2 linked regions of the Struthio camelus genome follow. The protein of the gene in region 1 interacts with the protein of each later gene in a biochemical or structural test. Links are inferred from orthologs where the notes say so. Each region holds a gene or a part of one and is shown on either strand. Other genes may lie near its edges.

Region 1 (8,254 bases):
TAATGTAGATAAGAACAATATTCCCTCACACATCTTATTTCCAGATGGCAAAAAGTAAATGAACTTATGTTTAATTCTATCTTCTTATTTCTATTTCTTTTTCTCCTTGCATTTTAAGTGAATTCATCTTCCTTCATTGCCCTGTTACAGAACATGTTTTATTTTATTTCTCCAAAGCATTTACCAGCTGTAAAGCGGACAGATCTGGTCAGAGCGCTCCCAGGCTGGCGGACTACCCACACAATATCAACAGGGAGCACCGGTGTCTCCTCCCAGAGCTGTTTTCAGGACTGACCAAAAGACCTGCCACGACCGGCCCTGAAAAGGAGATTTAAGTACCCAGGGACGCTCAGGACTTGTCTGCTGCAGCGAGCGGCAAGGAGGGGATCTTCTCTGGCACCGTTATAGCATCTAATGTCCGGACTTCTGTCTCTACTATTTTTTTTAAGAGTTTTATTGAATATTAACATGTTTGAAGCACTCTTAAATATAGTCATGCAAAGTGTTACATAACAGACCAAGCATCAGTCTTTGGCCTCTCTTCATAAACGACAAAGCAGTGACAGCCCAGGTGAACACACTGGTGCATTAGGGCCTGGATGTTTGCATCAGATTTCTTTTGCACTTTCAAAGCAGAGCAGAAAAACTCTGAAACACATTATCAATCCCCCCTGACTTGCTCGGCTGTCCAGAAAATGTTTTATGATAGAGATTTACCATTCACAGAAGAGGCCAGAGGGAAAACCCTTCTGTCCGGAGAAGCTGTTCCAAAGAGATAACTAGATTCTCACAGCTGACAGAGGTGTGGACATGTGAAATGTCCTTTATTAGCTTCTTTGAGGACAAAGCAGTATGAAGAAAGTATTATTGTATTCCAGAGCAGAGCAAGAACTGATTATTAAATGTAGTTCCAGTACATGGTAATCAAGATCTTGTTCTAATTAACTATTTCGTAAACCTAACATCAATTTTATACTAGATTTCAAGGAGGCAGCAAAGCTGTGATCTGTTACTGACAGCGTTAATTGGCTTTCAATTTATACACTAAAAAGCATAAACTTAGAATAAAAGAGAAAGAAGTACGACCTTGTCTTGGTCATAAGCGCTTTACTTGTTTCCTAATGCTTAAAATCTGGGGCATAATTTTCAGCGGAGAAAGTAGGAGAATAGTGTAGCGTTTCTGCTAGCTGAGAGGCAGTGATGATGGGATAAGAAATGTGTTTGCAGAGTGAAAGCTGGTTTCAGTAAACAGACTGTGAGAACCAGAATTCACCTGTTAGAACCGGGCCTTCAGCTACTTGACTTCAAAGTGACCTCAAAGGAGAATTTAAAATGACTTAGCACGCTACCCGTGAATGACAGGGTGGAGATACGTGGTAGTACACAGGATCATTTATAGAAACCTGCCGACGTGGTTGACACTGGCATTTGGCTTGTGGTTTGAAAACGTTCCACCAAACTGATTATTAAAAACTTGCTCCGATCAGAGGATTTTAAATCACTGCTCCTTACTTCACTGCACGGTCCTTGCCTCATTTCTCAAAAACCAAAGCAAAAATGGCATGAGAAATCCCCGGAGATAAATTGCATGCTTGTATTTGTTGGCTACAGACCAAAGAGCCTTGCCCTTTGTTAAATAATCAGATACCGTTTGATGGACTAAGTTCCCTTCAATAAACCTGCAAGTATTTCCATCAAGAACGAATAGCAGGCAAATTTTGTAGTGAAACAAGGTCGAGCGTTCTCCTTGCCAGAGCACGCTTGCACTATTATGAATGTAATAAGACAGGCATTGTTAGGCTCCCTCTTGCTTTGGTAAACCACGACCGTACCAAGCAGTTCAATAAGCACATTAACTGCTACTGTTTGTGAGAATCATGGTAGCTAATGCGCAGTCCCTTACGAGCAGCAGTTTATGATGCTTTAAAAAGCCTTTGACTAGAAACGCGGCAGCAAATTCCATAGCCTAAAACACAACTGAACTGTGACACTACATGCTTCTGCATGACTGTTCCGAAAGAGCAACTTCCAGGCTAACTGTACCAAAAAGAAAACTATATTTGAGAGTAAGTTGAAATCTGAAATGCCTCAATAGGCAAACTGGAGTTATTAAGGCTAGTTTTCTACAGTCCCGGTGTAAATAAAGTTTACTTATGATCACACTGATGATGAGGATATCTTACCATTGAGGACCCTTTACAGGTACTAAAGCTATTCACTTTGCACAGAATATTAGAGTCACCATCCCACCCATTAAATATCGGTTTTATGATAGCCACTATTATATGAGCCAAAAAAAAAAAAGAAAAGCAAAGCTGGTCTGTGCCATTAAGTTTCATTGAAATAGCATGTAATTGTCCTCTCAAAGGCAGGAAACAGAATCACAGAATCACAGAATCGTTTAGGTTGGAAGGGACCTCTGGAGATCATCTAGTCCAACCTCCCTGCTCAAGCAGGGTCCTCTAGAGCATATGCCTTATGAGGATGAAAGCCTTTTGTGTGCACACAGGTGTGCACAGACCTGTGAGCTAGCCATCTCCAAAGGCTCAGAGCCAGCTGGGAGGAAACACCAGCCCCAGGGACATTGATGAAACACAGCGGTCAGGGTAAAGCCTTTATGCAGCAGCAGAAGCAATGGGAGGAGGGGATCGCCTGCTCCAATCATTGAGATATTAAATTTTAAGTCAAGAAGTATAGCAAACCCAGATCTGAGACCTTTTCTCAGACTGTAGCTTTCCTACCAGAAAGAAGTCTAGAGTTCTTCCACTTCTCACTCTTCCCTAATGCCTGGTAGAGAGCGGAGGTGGATACGCAGGCAACTGCTTTTCCACTTCAGACTTCTACTAAAATGTCTTGTTATTACAACAAACCACTTGCCGCGGCAGCACCACTTTACAGGCTGTTTTATAAATAGAGACATTTCCTCTACCCTGAAAAGCTTACAACCTACATGAGACAGACAAAATAAAGCGAATCAGGAAAAGTAGGATGAGCAGAATATTAACGATGAAACAGGAGAAGGTGCTGCTTGAAGATCTGAAGTGGGCTAAGTGTTAAGAACTTCACAGAGGCCAGCTCCCTTTTTTCATCCTTCTCCAGACTCCCATCGAAACAATTTGCTGGATGAATGCAACAGCAACGTCTGACTTTTGAGGGATTCAACATCGTGAGTTCATTTAAAACATAAACGCAATATCTGTGGGATCCAGATTCTATGCGAAAGAGAGCTCTTTGGTTTTAAAATATGGAAATGGAGAGTTCATCGCAGAGGTGAAAAGTTAAAATACATCATTCATTTGTGTGTGCTTATGTGGCCACTGGTGGTCTAGTCAATGCACATTTAAAATTTTCCTATTTATCAAAGTCTACTCTATTCCTCAAAAGATAAGGCTTATAGTGGACATAATCCTGTCCCATCGATCTAAAGCAAAAGGAGTTTTAGCGTTGTCTTCAGGGGGAGTATTTTCTCCCCAAAACAAGAGAATTTAAAACACGGCCTAGACTTTAAAAATAGAGTGGTAAAATGAAGCCTACGCATCACTGTGGCTATAAAGGTTTTAAGTAGGTGCTTTGAGATTTTCAGGATCAGGGCCTGTGTCTTCTTCAGTTGTTGACGCCTGGCTCAGATCCATTTTTAACACGCGGTCAGCTATCGGAAATATTCACCTGAGTGGGGCAAAACCTGCTTTGAATTGCTACAAAAAACTACTTTTATACGGCTAAAAGATCACAGAGATGGTTCCGAGCAATAATTAAGGCATATTTAGCAAGTATTAGAGATCGCTTGGCAGAGGAACGTGTAACAGAGGCAAGCAGGAAAACCGAACAGCTTTTAACTCGGAAGCTTTGTCTGACGGACAGAGACCGTCTTTGTTCGGTGTTTGGACAACAGCGAGCAAGATGCGGCTCTGGGTCATTTCCTTTGGTAGGACAACGAAGAGGAGAAGGAAGGAGTTATTGTCCTGCGTTAGGTAGCGCAAGTGAAAATACTGGAGTCACGCCCCGCGTTTGGCAGGGTCCCGTGGCCCTCTATAAAGCTGGGTTCATCAGACGTGTCTCAGGAATTTGCCCTAATAAGCTAAAAATACGTAAAGCCGATGTTCTTTGCCACACAGAAGCGTCTGCTATCAAGCTACAGGAAGAACAGCGCCTGAAAAACACAACTTGACACAGAAATTCCACATTTTGCTTGATTGTCCTGATCGTTTCTGTTGTGTGTGGTGACAGCAAGAACACGCTGTGTTATGGCTATTAGGACTATTTAAAACCTCCAGACACCTATGAAACCAATGTAAACAGCAGCCTATGTGAGTTCGTGGTAAAAATGACCCTCCCATTCCTCGTTCTTTTAATCTTTTCTTTAGGGTCTCTACCCCCACCTCGCCAGCTCCAGCAACGGACCTGCGCGCAGCCCAAGTGCAGTCTAAACACCTTGGCGTTTGGTGGCCGGCACGTTTCAGAACTGCTCGTTTTTGGAGGTGGATGGGGCAAAACGGGCCTGCTGATCCCTTCACACCCATCCTAACCCCTGGATGCTATTTTTAAAGTGTGGCAAGTGGAGGCCTGAGGCACCCGGGGCCGAGCTCTACCCCTGCTCGCCGCCCTGCCTCCTTCGTGGCACTTGGCCTCAGAAACCGTCGCCAGCCCCAGGCCCAGCGCCCCTTCCCCCCTCCCTCTCCCCAGCCCCCCACGGGAGCCTCTCGGGAGGAGGGCGACGGGACCCCGGAGAAGGACTGCGGGGGATCGACAGCCTTTTCACCAATAGGAGCTCGGCTTTCATAGCCAGCAGCCAATCAGCGTCGGGGGCGGGTCTATAAGCGAGCAGTCCTTCCCGCCTCTCGCCTGAGGGAGGGGAAGATGCGGGCGGCCGCCATCTTGTGTGTGGCATCCCCGCCCTTCCCACTCTCTCCTCCCTGGCGGCCCTACTCTCCCCCCCACCTCCGCCGTCCCGCGACGGCGGCGGAGGGCCGAGGACAGCGGCGGCGGCGGCCCCCTTTCTCGGCCGAATAAACAAAAAGACAGCGGGCGGCCGGCCGGCGGGGCGCCGCGCTCAAGATGGCGCCGGGCGGCGCCCTGCTGGCGCTGGAGCGCGCGCGGGTGGGTGACGTCAGCGGGACTCTGGGCATGGGCAGGTGGAGGGAGCAGGCAAAGTTTGGCCGGCGCTAGCGGGAGGCGGGCGGGCGGCGGCGGCGGCCGGGGCTGCGGGCGCCGCTGCCGGCAGTGCTCGGGGCGGGGGCGGCGGTTGCGCCTCGGCTCGGCTGTGTGCTCCGCTCCGCTCCGCTGCGCTGCGTTGCTGGCGGCGCGCGCGGGCCGCCGCGCCGCTGCCATGGCCGAGGACCCCAGCGCCCTGCCCTGGTCCATCAACAAGGATGACTACGAGCTGCAGGAGGTGATCGGTGAGTGCGGGGGGGGGGGGGTCCTGCCCCCCCCCCCCATCTGAGGGGTGTGTGTGTAACCGTTTGGGGGGGGGGTGTCCCCCCCCCCGCCAGGAGGACTTTGTTTGGGGGGGGGGTCTGTGTAGGGAGGGGGTGGTGTTCCCCCCCGTGGAGGGTGTGGAGGGGGGGGTCTGCTCCCCAAATGGGGGGGGGCAGAGGAGCAGATGCCCCCCGCCCTCAATGATGGCTGTATGTAGGGTCTATTCCCCCCCCCCCGAAACCCAGGGAAGGGGTGGTGGGGATCTGCTCCCTCCCCCCCAAGGGGGGGGGGGCTATGTTTGGATTTGGAGGGGGGGCCCCGTTGCTGTGTTTTTGTGACCCTCTGGGTGCGTGGGGGGGTGTCTGCTGCCCCTCGAGGGGTGTGGGGGGGTTTGGTGTCCCCCCCCCCGATACCTCACGGCGGGGGGGGCTCCCCTGTCCCTTGGGGGGGGGGGGGACACCCTCCAGGGCAAGGGCTGCTTGGGGTTTGGGGGGGGGAGGATCAGTGCACCCTCGTGCTGGGTGGCAGAGGATGGGACGGGGTCTGTGCTCTGGGGGCTCCTTTACTGACCCGTCGCTTACTGACCCGGCTGAATCCACTGTGCTGGGGTGGGGGGTGAGGTCGCCTGCGGTGCAAACCCCAAAATTTATACGGGCTCCCTCCCTCCAGAGCAGCCGGGCGCCTCCGCTGCAGCACCTGGCGCTTTGGGTGCTCTGTTGCTTTGGCGTCTTCAGGGGACGGAGGACTTTGTAGTGCCACCAAAGCAGTGGCACTTTTTTTTCTCCTCTTCCCTGGGTTTTTACTATTGTCTGAATCTTCATTCATTGTCCTCTCGGCTTGAGGCCTGGCCCTTGCTCTCTAGTAAATGATTTTTCTTTCTTTTTTTTTTTTTTTTTAAAAACATTTTGACTTTAAACTGACACAGTTACCAAAGGCCTCCTGCTGTCCTGATTTATTGGCCGTCTCAACCGTTCGGCTGGGGTGTGTGTTTGAGGGATATATTGCTCTAGGTTGCGCGTGTGACACGTCTGAGGTGGTGCCACAGGCAATGCTAAGGTCAGTGCCTCTTGTGTCACTCTCTGGAGGCAGGAAACAAAGTGGGAGGTGGCAGGGCAGGCTCCTGGCCAGGAGGCTTTTAGGAAGGAGGTTAATTTTCGGTTTAATCTTTGTAAAGTGCTTTTACTTGAAATTTATAAATGACATAGCTCTATCGTGCCCAGGCCTTGCATCTCTGCCCAACAGGGAGACTTAGTTTCTGTTAACAAGGGTGGGAGAGTTTGGGGAAAATGCTGTTTTAAGAGATTAAATTCTTGGCATTGTTTGAAAGTCGGAAGGAACTAAAGCTGTTGGGGGGGGGAAAAATCCTTGTGGCAGTTCTGGAAATCCCTGTTGCTCCACTGGATCAGGCTTTATCCTCTCCCTTCGCCTAGTGGGAGCAGCAGCGCTTTAGAAAGGAGGCAAACCATCAGTAAAGACCGGGAAGACGTAATCTCGGAGATCAGCCCGTTAAACCTCCTCGGAGATCATCCCGTTAAACCTCCTCTGGAAGACGCACCCTGGTGAGGCTGGTGTCGAGCCTCCTCCAGGAGCAGCAGATAAAGGTGCAGGGGCAAAGAGGGGGGAAGAACAGGCCACTGGGCTCCCAGTCCCCGCAGGAAAGGGAGCTGCGGGAGTTGCACCCGTGCTCGCAGGAAGCGCTTCTCCCGTGGGAGTCTCCGAAGGGGTGCTCTCGCATAACACAAAGCCAGGTTTTGAGTATCCAGCGAAAGGACAAGCTGCCTCTTTGTAGCTGGGGAACGGAGTGGGATGGGAACAAAAGGGAATGCAAATGCGCTCCTGCTCTTAGGAGGACTTGCTGCTAGAGACGCACGTCCTATAGTCCAACAGTATTAGAAGGAGGACGTAGATACGTTGTGGTCTCACTGGAGAAAAATCAGGGATAGGATATTTCAGTTCTTTCATGTCTTTCCCCTACTCCTCTGTAAACTTTGAGTTTCTGGTTGTCATCTGCTCATTGAAAGATTGTGTTGGCATTCTGGAATGTAATGGAGAGTATGCTGAAATGTGTATATTACAAACATATGGTTCCTTTTTTTTTTTTTTTTCAATTTCCCATCCCCCCCATCTTACTCATTTTCAACACTGGTGTGCCTGCCAGCGCCCTGGATGTATATGTGACGCAAATTTTCTAGCGCATTTATCATTTGTGGGACAAAATGTCACTGTGTTAACTGAGCTGGACTGTGTTAACTGAGCTGGACTGCTCCTGCTTCGTGTCTCTTGTAAACCTCAAGGTTTTTCTGAGCTCCTTTGACTTCTGCAGAACTGTAAAAGTTCTTCAGTAGTGAACGAAGAAGGGATCTGGTGTGGAAAGGGGTGAACCTTGCAGTAGTGCTTTTAAAGGATTTAACTTGTTTTCTGATGAAAATGTTCTTTAAATTTTGAGTCCAGGAGGTTACCAACTCAGTTATTTTTCACATCAGAATAAAGGAAATCAATGTCTGACTACATGATCTAATTCCTTATTTGTGCTATTTTTGCCAGAAGATATTCATGTGTGGCTTTCATATGACTTGGATGGCTCTGTACTATTTCAGTGCAAGAACTGAAAGAGCAAGCATTCTAGCTGCTAAAAAAAAAAAAATAAATAAATAATTTCTCCTGTAAAACTGCCTTCCTGGTTCTAGCTAATACTAAAAAGAGATTACTCAGCCCTGGACATGATTCATGCCATTATAAAGGTATAGATTAATGCTTATGTTTATTATGCTTGGTTAGTGTGAGTGGCTAAGTGCTGAGTAGCCTCCTTAGGCTTAAATAACTTACATTACAGTGAATT
Region 2 (7,817 bases), on another chromosome or scaffold:
CTGCGGCTCTGAGGTCACCGCCGCGTCTGGCCGCGTTGATTGCGGGCTCGCTGGCCAGGGCGAGGCGGAGCGCGGGGGCCTGCTGCCGAGATAAGGGGCTATCAGGCCACGCACGCGCCGAGCCCGCTGCTCGCGGGCAGGAAACGGTTCAGAGCTTTTTCATTTAGTGCAGCTGGTCAGGATCAAGAGTTGTTCCAGTTTGATAAACACGTAACCTGGGATGAATTTGTACACGGGTTACGTCTGTAACTCTGGGCTGAGGAAATCCTGAGAAGACTTATCTGCCTGGAGCTAAAGGCACAACTGAGGTTTGAATGACATCTCGCCCTCCCTGCAGTACGTGCGCTAGGGTAAGGATGGCCCGCAGGGAGACGAGCGAGGAGGGGGCACCAGCAGGTATGCAGTGCCGCAGCCCACCAGGAAACAGCTCCCGGGTCCCCTTCCCTGTCGGCATCCGTGGGCGGTGGTACTATCCTGCTTTACGCTCGAGGCAGCGCTTGGACCCTGCGCCTGCCTGGCAGGGGTGGCGTGAAGGAAGGCTGGCGGGGCCGCGCAGCTGGCCTCTTCCGCCTGCTCGCCTCTCGTGCCGCTCTGGCCTGGTCGTGCCGTTCCCGCTGGTCCTGCGACGCGTTCTCTGTGTCCTGCTCCCTTCTTCTGCTTCTGGCTCCTAAAGGCCTTTTTCTGCTCCGTGCCTGTTTTAGTGGGACCTGTTCGCCCCAACACGTTTCCTAGTAGGAAAGGGTGTATTAGTGGAAGCCTCCTCCCTGCTCCTTTCCAAGATATGCAACGGTTAAGGCAAATCCAGGAAGCTCAACTCACTTGTCGGACTAGCCAGATCTGCCGTTTCACTTGCCGTGCTGTCCAGTCTGAACTGGGTATCCCCGTCTCATGCAGAAGACACCTGGGCACCACTGGCTGAAGGAGGTTCGTAGGTACACAGACCTCCTCTGTGTCTGGACCCGTCTTGGCCCCTCGCTTATGCTGCCAGGAGCTCTGAGGTCAGAACGGACAAGTTCTGGCAGCGCTCGCTGGAGCTAGCACGGGAGACACCGGCGCGCTTAGCTGAACAGTTCTTTGATTAGTGATCTAATCCCAAGGAGAGTGATTACACAGTCCCCTGTTCTCTTCCTGGCAGCCAAATGCATGCGAAAAATAGGTTAAATTGCCTGATTACAGCGGTTCCTCAAAGTGAAGGGCTGGCACTGGCACCACAAGCCCAAGAGAGACGTCACCCTGATAACGTGCAAGGGTGTTGTGTGTGTTTTCTGAGCACTGGGAATGAGCTGTTGATTGTGGACTGGAACTTTCTGCTTTCAGCCCAGGTCTGAGTCCAGCTTGCTACCTCAGGACCGGGTCAGGAAGGCACCCGTAGCGAACCTAACAGTCTCTCTTGTGGTCGTTCCTGTTCTTGCCCTGTGCAGAAGGGAACGGAGAGTTGCGATCGGTTTTCTCTCCCTCTGGACACAGCCCCGGGGCCAGAAGCAGCCGAACGTGCCGTCCCTGGAGCGCTTGCCGTGTCGGAGGTGGTGGGAATTCCCTTGCAGAGCAGCAGCATTTCTCTCTGCGGATAGATTCATTTTCCTATTTAATTGAGGAAGCGACCGGTCTGCGCTGAGTGGTGCTGAGATCGATATCCCACCCTGAGGGGCAGGCCCCAGCGGCTGCGCCGGAGCTGCGCGGTGTCCGGATTCGCCTCCGTTCTGGCGGCTGTAGAACGACACTCGACGTTCCCCCTCGCTGCTCTGTGGATCAAGTGGAGGATTTTCAGCTAGAAAAGACTGAAATCTCCGGCTTTGCTGAGAGCTGCAGTCAGGACCGGATAAAAGTAAAAGCAATTACTTTTTAAGCAGGGAACTTTTAAAACCTGACATATGTTAGATGGGTAGGAAAGCTACAGCCCTGTTTCCCGCGGCTTTGACGGGCTCTGGAGGAGAGGTGAAAGTCAAAAGATGGGGCATGAAGGATGGTTCTTCACGTGTCTCCTCCTCCTGCCTCCCCTGGGGCTTTGGCAGATGGTCCCCTGGCTTGTGCACGGGCTCTTTAACTTTGTGCAGCCTGCAAGACGCTGGAGGAGAGAGGTCAGTAGGAAGCGGGAAGCCTGAGAGATGCCACGTGGGAGGCGTTTGCGTGGGGAGCTGGGATACCCCCCCCTTTCTGGATGTGGATCTGGTGAAAAGGGCAGATGTTTTTGCCCTGGCAGAACGGTGCATCTGAATAAAACACTTCATTTGGCAGAGTGGAGTCCAACTGTGTCATATTTTACAACACAACAGTCTTCCACACCAGGAACATTGTGTGTGCCACACCTATCAGCCCGTCTGTCCTGGCCTTTTGTCTTTGGCAACAATCAGCCTCTGGTGCTTTGGGACAAGGGGCACTTCCTCCCAGGAGGCACCAAGCGGAGTGCTGCGGAGGGGCAGACCTTAGACGTGCATGCTTCAGCCTTGGGTGGCTGTTCTCCCGCTAGCACATGCCCTGAGCACGCTCTTGGGAGCACCGCATGTAGGTAAGGATGTGGTCCCGTCTCTCAACTCACCAACCCAGGCTGCACATTAGCAGTTTTCAAGCAAAAAAGAGACATCCGATCACATTCTCCTCTTGGGGCAGTTTTACCTGGCTCCTTTGTTTTGCGAGCCGGGCAAGCAGGGATGAATGAACGGGGTCATGTGAAGGTAGCACAAGCCTGCCTGTGCCCGGGAGATTAGCAGTTTGACACTCGGCCTATCCAGGGCTGCTGCAGAAACAACGTTTCATTAAATGCGTCTCCCTCCTCCCGCCCGGACGGGGGGTGGGATTTGTGGGGCTGCAGCTGTGCTAGACGTGGGCTGCAGCGGTACTGTGAGTCAGGGCTGCAGCCCAGGGATCACTCGCTGTCCTCCTGCATACGCCGGGTTAGCATTTGAAATCTGTGTGGAGGACATTGCTGGGCTACTATTTCAATCCTCCCCTTAATGTTTCTCTTATCGTTGAATAGAAACAATCTGATCCTAGGGAAAATAAATTAATGTCGGCTTCAATTGCTTTGTATTTTGTGTAAACAGTTCCACTAAGTAGAACAACTTCTTAGTTTAAACCGTAGAGACAACAAGCTCTTGTCTGCGCTCTGGGTTAGTGCATGGCTGGAACAGACATTCATACCTTAATATTTGCATGGCCCTAATTTTAGGATTTCACCCAGTAGCAAACTGAGAGGATGGGCTGTCAAGCTGAGCAGACAGGCGCGGGACCCGATAGCTTGTCAGAACAGCGAGCGGCAGGAGGTGCTCCCCACAACCTGGGAGAGGGACAGCTGCTGTTTCTTGTAAACCCGCTGCTCTGAAATCTCAAGTTAAAAGCTCTAAGTAAATGTCTAAAACAAGCACTTCCCTACAGCTCAGTGTAGCCTGCGTCACCCTGTCTGATGCTTCAATTACACTAGCCCCATTGCCAGGATTGTTTCCAACGCTGCTGGAGAGCAGAGCGCTGGCTCAAGCCTGGGAGGGAAAGGGGCTGGCAGCCGCTTCTAGCTCTGCAAGGAGGGGATGGCCGTTGCACAGCAGCTGGGCTCAGAGCTAGGCTTGCAGCAGGGGAAGGACGGGGCACATGCCCTGCCTTGGGACCTGCAGCCATCCCAGCACCTTGTGCCCACGCGCAGCCCGTGTGCGGAGCCTGGTGCCTGGGATGCAGTGCCTGGTGCTGGTGTGCGGAGCCCAGTGCCAGGGTGCCAGGGACTGTGGGCCGTGCACAGAGCGGTGCTGGGGGCTAGGGACGCTGCATGCAGCTCCTGCACGCAGTGCCTGTGCCTGGTGCAGACTACCCAGAACCGGTGCTCAGCACGTGCAGCCTGTGCCCAGTGTGCGGTGCCTGTGCGTGGTGTGCATTGCCTGGGCCACGGTGCCTGGTGAGCTGTGCTGCTGCCCCATGCCCATGCCCAGTGCGTGGAGCCTGGTGCCTGTGCTGGTGCCCGCTGCCCATGCACGCTGCCCATGCCAGTGCTCGTGCAAGGTGCACAATGACCATGCTGGTGCCTAGTGCCTGTGCCGGTGCTGGTGTGTGGTGCATGTGCCCAGTGCATGGAGCCCAGTGCCAGTGCGGGTGCCTGTGCCCAGGGCATGGAGCCTGGGGCGGGTGCGTGGTGCTTGGGTGCACAGTGCTGATGCACAGTGCGTGGAGCCTGGTGCTTGGCTGTGCAGTGTTGGTGTGGGTGCTGGCACCCAGTGTGTGGTGTCCGGGTGTGTAGTGCCAGTGCGGGTGCCAGTGCCCAGTGCATAGAGCCCGGTGCTGGTGCCAGTGCAGGTGCTGGTGTGCGGTGCCTGGAGCTCAGTGCCGGTGCCTGGTGCACAGAGTCCAGTGCCCGGTGCCCGGTGCCTGGAGCCTGGTGCCGGTGCCGGTGTGCGGTGCACAGAGCCCGGTGCTGGTGCCGGTGCGCGGTGCACGGAGCCCGGTGCCAGTGCCAGTACGCGGTGCACAGAGCCCGGTGCAGGTGCCCGGTGCCCGGTGCCCGGTGCCGGTGCCGGTGTGCGGTGCACGGAGCCCGGTGCAGGTGCCGGTGCGCGGTGCACGGAGCCCGGTGCCGGTGCCGCGGCCGGCGGGGGCCGCTCCCGCGGCGCAGGGGGGGCGGTGGCCGCGGGGAGGCGGTGCCGGGCCGGGCCGGGGGCGGTGCCGCCGGGCGGGGCCGGGGCCGGGGCCGGTGCCGGGGCCCGGGCCGGGGCTCGGCGGGCGGACGGCGGCGGCGGCGCCAGGTGCGAAGCTGCGCGGGAGCGGCCGAGCCGCCGCCGTCGCCGCCGCGGGCCGATGCTGGCGGCGGAGCCGGCCGCCGCCGGCGGGGCCATGTCCCAGCCCGAGGCGGAGCGGGCGGGCGGCGGCGGCGCGGCGGAGGAGCCGGAGCCAGGACCGGGGCCGGGGCCGGAGCCGGAGCCAGGACCGGGGCCGGGGGCCCCCGGGCGGGCGCCGCACCGCAGCCGCGGCCGGCGGCTCTCGGGGCGCGAGTCGCGCCGCGCCTCCGCCCGCTTCAGCCGGCGCAGCTCGGCCGAGCTGGAGCTGCTGCGCGGTGCGGCGGGGCCGGGGCCGGGGCCGGGGCGCGGGGGGTCGCCGCCGCCGCTGCCGCCGCCCGCCGGGCGCCGCCGGGAGCCCGAGGAGACGGAGAGCGAGGAGGTGGAGACCCGCGCCGTGGCCACCTCCCCCGACGGCCGGTTCCTCAAGTTCGACATCGAGATCGGCCGCGGCTCCTTCAAGACCGTCTACAAGGGGCTGGACACGGAGACCACCGTGGAGGTGGCCTGGTGCGAGCTGCAGGTAAGGGCCGGGGCCGGGGGTCGGGGCCGGGGGGCTGCGGGAGCCCTGCCCGCGGGCGGCACCTGGGCGGCGGCGCCCCGACCCCGGCCCGGCCCGGCCCGGCCGCCTCTGCCCCTCCGCGCTGCCGCCGCGGGCTGCCCGCCCCGACGGAGGGGCCGTAGCCGGGGCCGCTTGGCAGCTCTTCCCCTGCCGGTTGCCCTGGCGCCTGCAGCCGCCCTGCAGCCGTGAATCCCTCTCGCTGCCTCCGGTGCCTCCCGGGGCGGCCGCGCTGCGCGGGGGAAGCGCGAGGCAGCTCCCCTTGGGATGCCCAGAGCAGCGCACGGGCGGTTGTTAGTCGTGTCCGTGCCATTTCCGCAGCCGGCTGCAGCAGCCGAGCAGGACGCGGTCCTTGCAGCCGGGCTCAGGTTCCCTCGCTCCCCGAAGGTGCCTGCGTGCTGGCCGGCGCCTCGGAGCCGCGCGGGGGCTGCTGGCCTGGGCCCAGCTCCGGGCTTAACACGGCGCTTCCCAGCCCTCCCGCCTGTCACGTGCTGTTTTCCACTCGCCGTGTTGCTGGCTGCGCGGTGGCAGCGCTCCTGGTGCGCCCGCGCTGCCCGTGCCGGTCCCGCTCCAGGAGTTCGCGGGTGGATCCAGCCCTGCTGCTGGGGGCTGAGCCCTGCGCTCGCCCCTGGCAAGGGCGGTCTGGGACAGCAGCGCCCTCTCCTCGGCCCGTGGCTCTGCGCCAGGGCTGGCGGGCTGCTCCGATAGCCCCGGGCACGCCGCTGGGCACGTGTTCGCAGTGTGCTTGAGGCTGGGTGCTGAGCCTGCTTCCAGGGTACAGCGCGTCCTTGGTGCGCGCCGGCCGCTCGTCCTTGACTGCGGCGCTGTCCGTAGGCACCTGCGGCGCCGAGGTCCCTGCCGCGCGGCCGGCACGCTTGGCTAGCTGCGCCTGCAGCTGCGGCTTTCCAGGTCTGGGAGCAGCTGCGCTGGCCCCTGTCTCCCCCCGCGTCCCGCCGTGCCTTTCGCTGTCCTGCGGCCCGACCGCGGGACGCTAACGCCAGGGCGCGAAGGGGAGCAGCGGGGGGTCGGCTCCCTAACGCCTTCGCCGCTCGGGTGAGGCCGCGCGTGGGTGGTCTTGCTGCGGGGCTCCCTCTTCCTCCGCAGAGCCCCTGGGGAGGGGCTTCCGCTAAGTCCAAAGTCTCGGACGGGCTCCTTCGCCCTGGTGGCTATTGTAGCTGGAAGGTCCAAGTCCTTGTTTACACAGAAAAACGTGTCTTGCAAGTTTGTTGTCTTGTTCCTAAAACCTTGGTGCAGCTGCACGCTGCTGCATCCCTGGGGACGGCTGCAGCCTGGCAATGGAAGCAGAGATCCTTAGGTAATGGTGAATGCTTTCAGGAAGGGCTCGGTGTTCCCTGTTAGCGAGGAAGGTGAGGCCTTGGCCCGGCGTCGCGGGATTGCACAACTGCTCCAGCTGCCCGCTGAGCGCATGCTGTGTCCCACCCTCGCTTTGCACCTCGTCCCGTTGCAGTGCTCCCGCGCTTCCACTTGCGTCTCGTATCCCTTCGCGTGCTGCTGAGAAAACCGGTCTGGCCCTGACAAGGAAGGACGTTTCTTGCTAAACCCTGCGGCTTTCTCTGGGCGAGTCAGCCGTGCCCGGCTGGCGTCGCGGCAGACCGTCGTGGGTCTGCGCCCTGTCTTTGCCCACGCGCGTCCCTGCTCTCCCGGCTTCACCGCTAGCGTGCGTGGCAGGTCCCGCTGCTGCACGGCGCTGCCTGGCAGCCCCAAGCCCCCGGCCCCGCTGCGGCAGACGCCCCTGGGGGTGGCCGGGCTGCGTCCCCCAGCTGCAGGAAGGGAATCGCCCCGCTGCCGGCGCCCGTGGGGCCGGGGAGCCGCTCGCGCGCGGTGCAGCCGCCCACGCGGGAGCGTGCCCGCCGCGCCGGGGAGAGCTGGCGGCCCTCGGCCTCCTGCGGCGCGGGGGGCCTCGGGGCGCGGGCCGGCCCGGCGCAGCGCCCCTTCCCGCCGCCGTGGCTCTCCCCGTTCCTCCCCTCCGCCACCTCCTGCCTGCCGGCCCTGCCCCTAGCTGCTCGCTCTCCGTGGCTCCTGTCCCAGAACCCACGTCCCATTCGGGTCTGAAAGCATATAGGCAGACTTTTAAAAGTCTGTTTTCCTGCAGCAACCATGCAAAGAATCAGACACTGTGACACAAATACGGGATTTGTAACCGCAAATAAAAATGGTTGTGGTTCTGCCCTTTTAAAAATAGCTTTGTCCCGTGTCTTTCACAGTTCTCCTTTTATTGCCTTTCAAATATAACCGAGTACCTAACCTCAGCCCTGACCTGCAGTTCCGGCTCTGAGAGCCTTGTCCGGCCGTTGCGACGTCCCTCGATCCCAAATCGCAGCTCTCCTCGCTCTCCCGCCCGGCGCCGGCCGTCCGGAGGCACGGGCTGCGCCGCTCCCGCGGGACCCCCGTCCTCGGCGTCGCGGCCGTCCCTGCCTCCTGCCCGCGTCCCGCAGACCCGCCGCGACCTGTTTACGCTTTCCAGCTTTAGGTCCGAGGCTATTTCA

The links.
Region 2: the proteins of OXSR1 (region 1) and WNK4 are reported together in a solved structure, tested with the Homo sapiens proteins (2 studies listed by BioGRID and IntAct, with this or other methods). The link is inferred for Struthio camelus from reciprocal best matches to the Homo sapiens genes OXSR1 and WNK4.

The regions. Positions count from the first base shown.
Region 1 is NC_090943.1:6,329,820-6,338,073, forward strand, and holds the start of OXSR1 (serine/threonine-protein kinase OSR1), read left to right. Parts: upstream 1-5,184; 5' UTR 5,185-5,326; coding exon 5,327-5,396; intron 5,397-8,254. UniProt on the Homo sapiens protein: Effector serine/threonine-protein kinase component of the WNK-SPAK/OSR1 kinase cascade, which is involved in various processes, such as ion transport, response to hypertonic stress and blood pressure.
Region 2 is NC_090966.1:7,833,397-7,841,213, forward strand, and holds the start of WNK4 (serine/threonine-protein kinase WNK4), read left to right. Parts: upstream 1-4,773; coding exon 4,774-5,274; intron 5,275-7,817. UniProt on the Homo sapiens protein: Serine/threonine-protein kinase component of the WNK4-SPAK/OSR1 kinase cascade, which acts as a key regulator of ion transport in the distal nephron and blood pressure.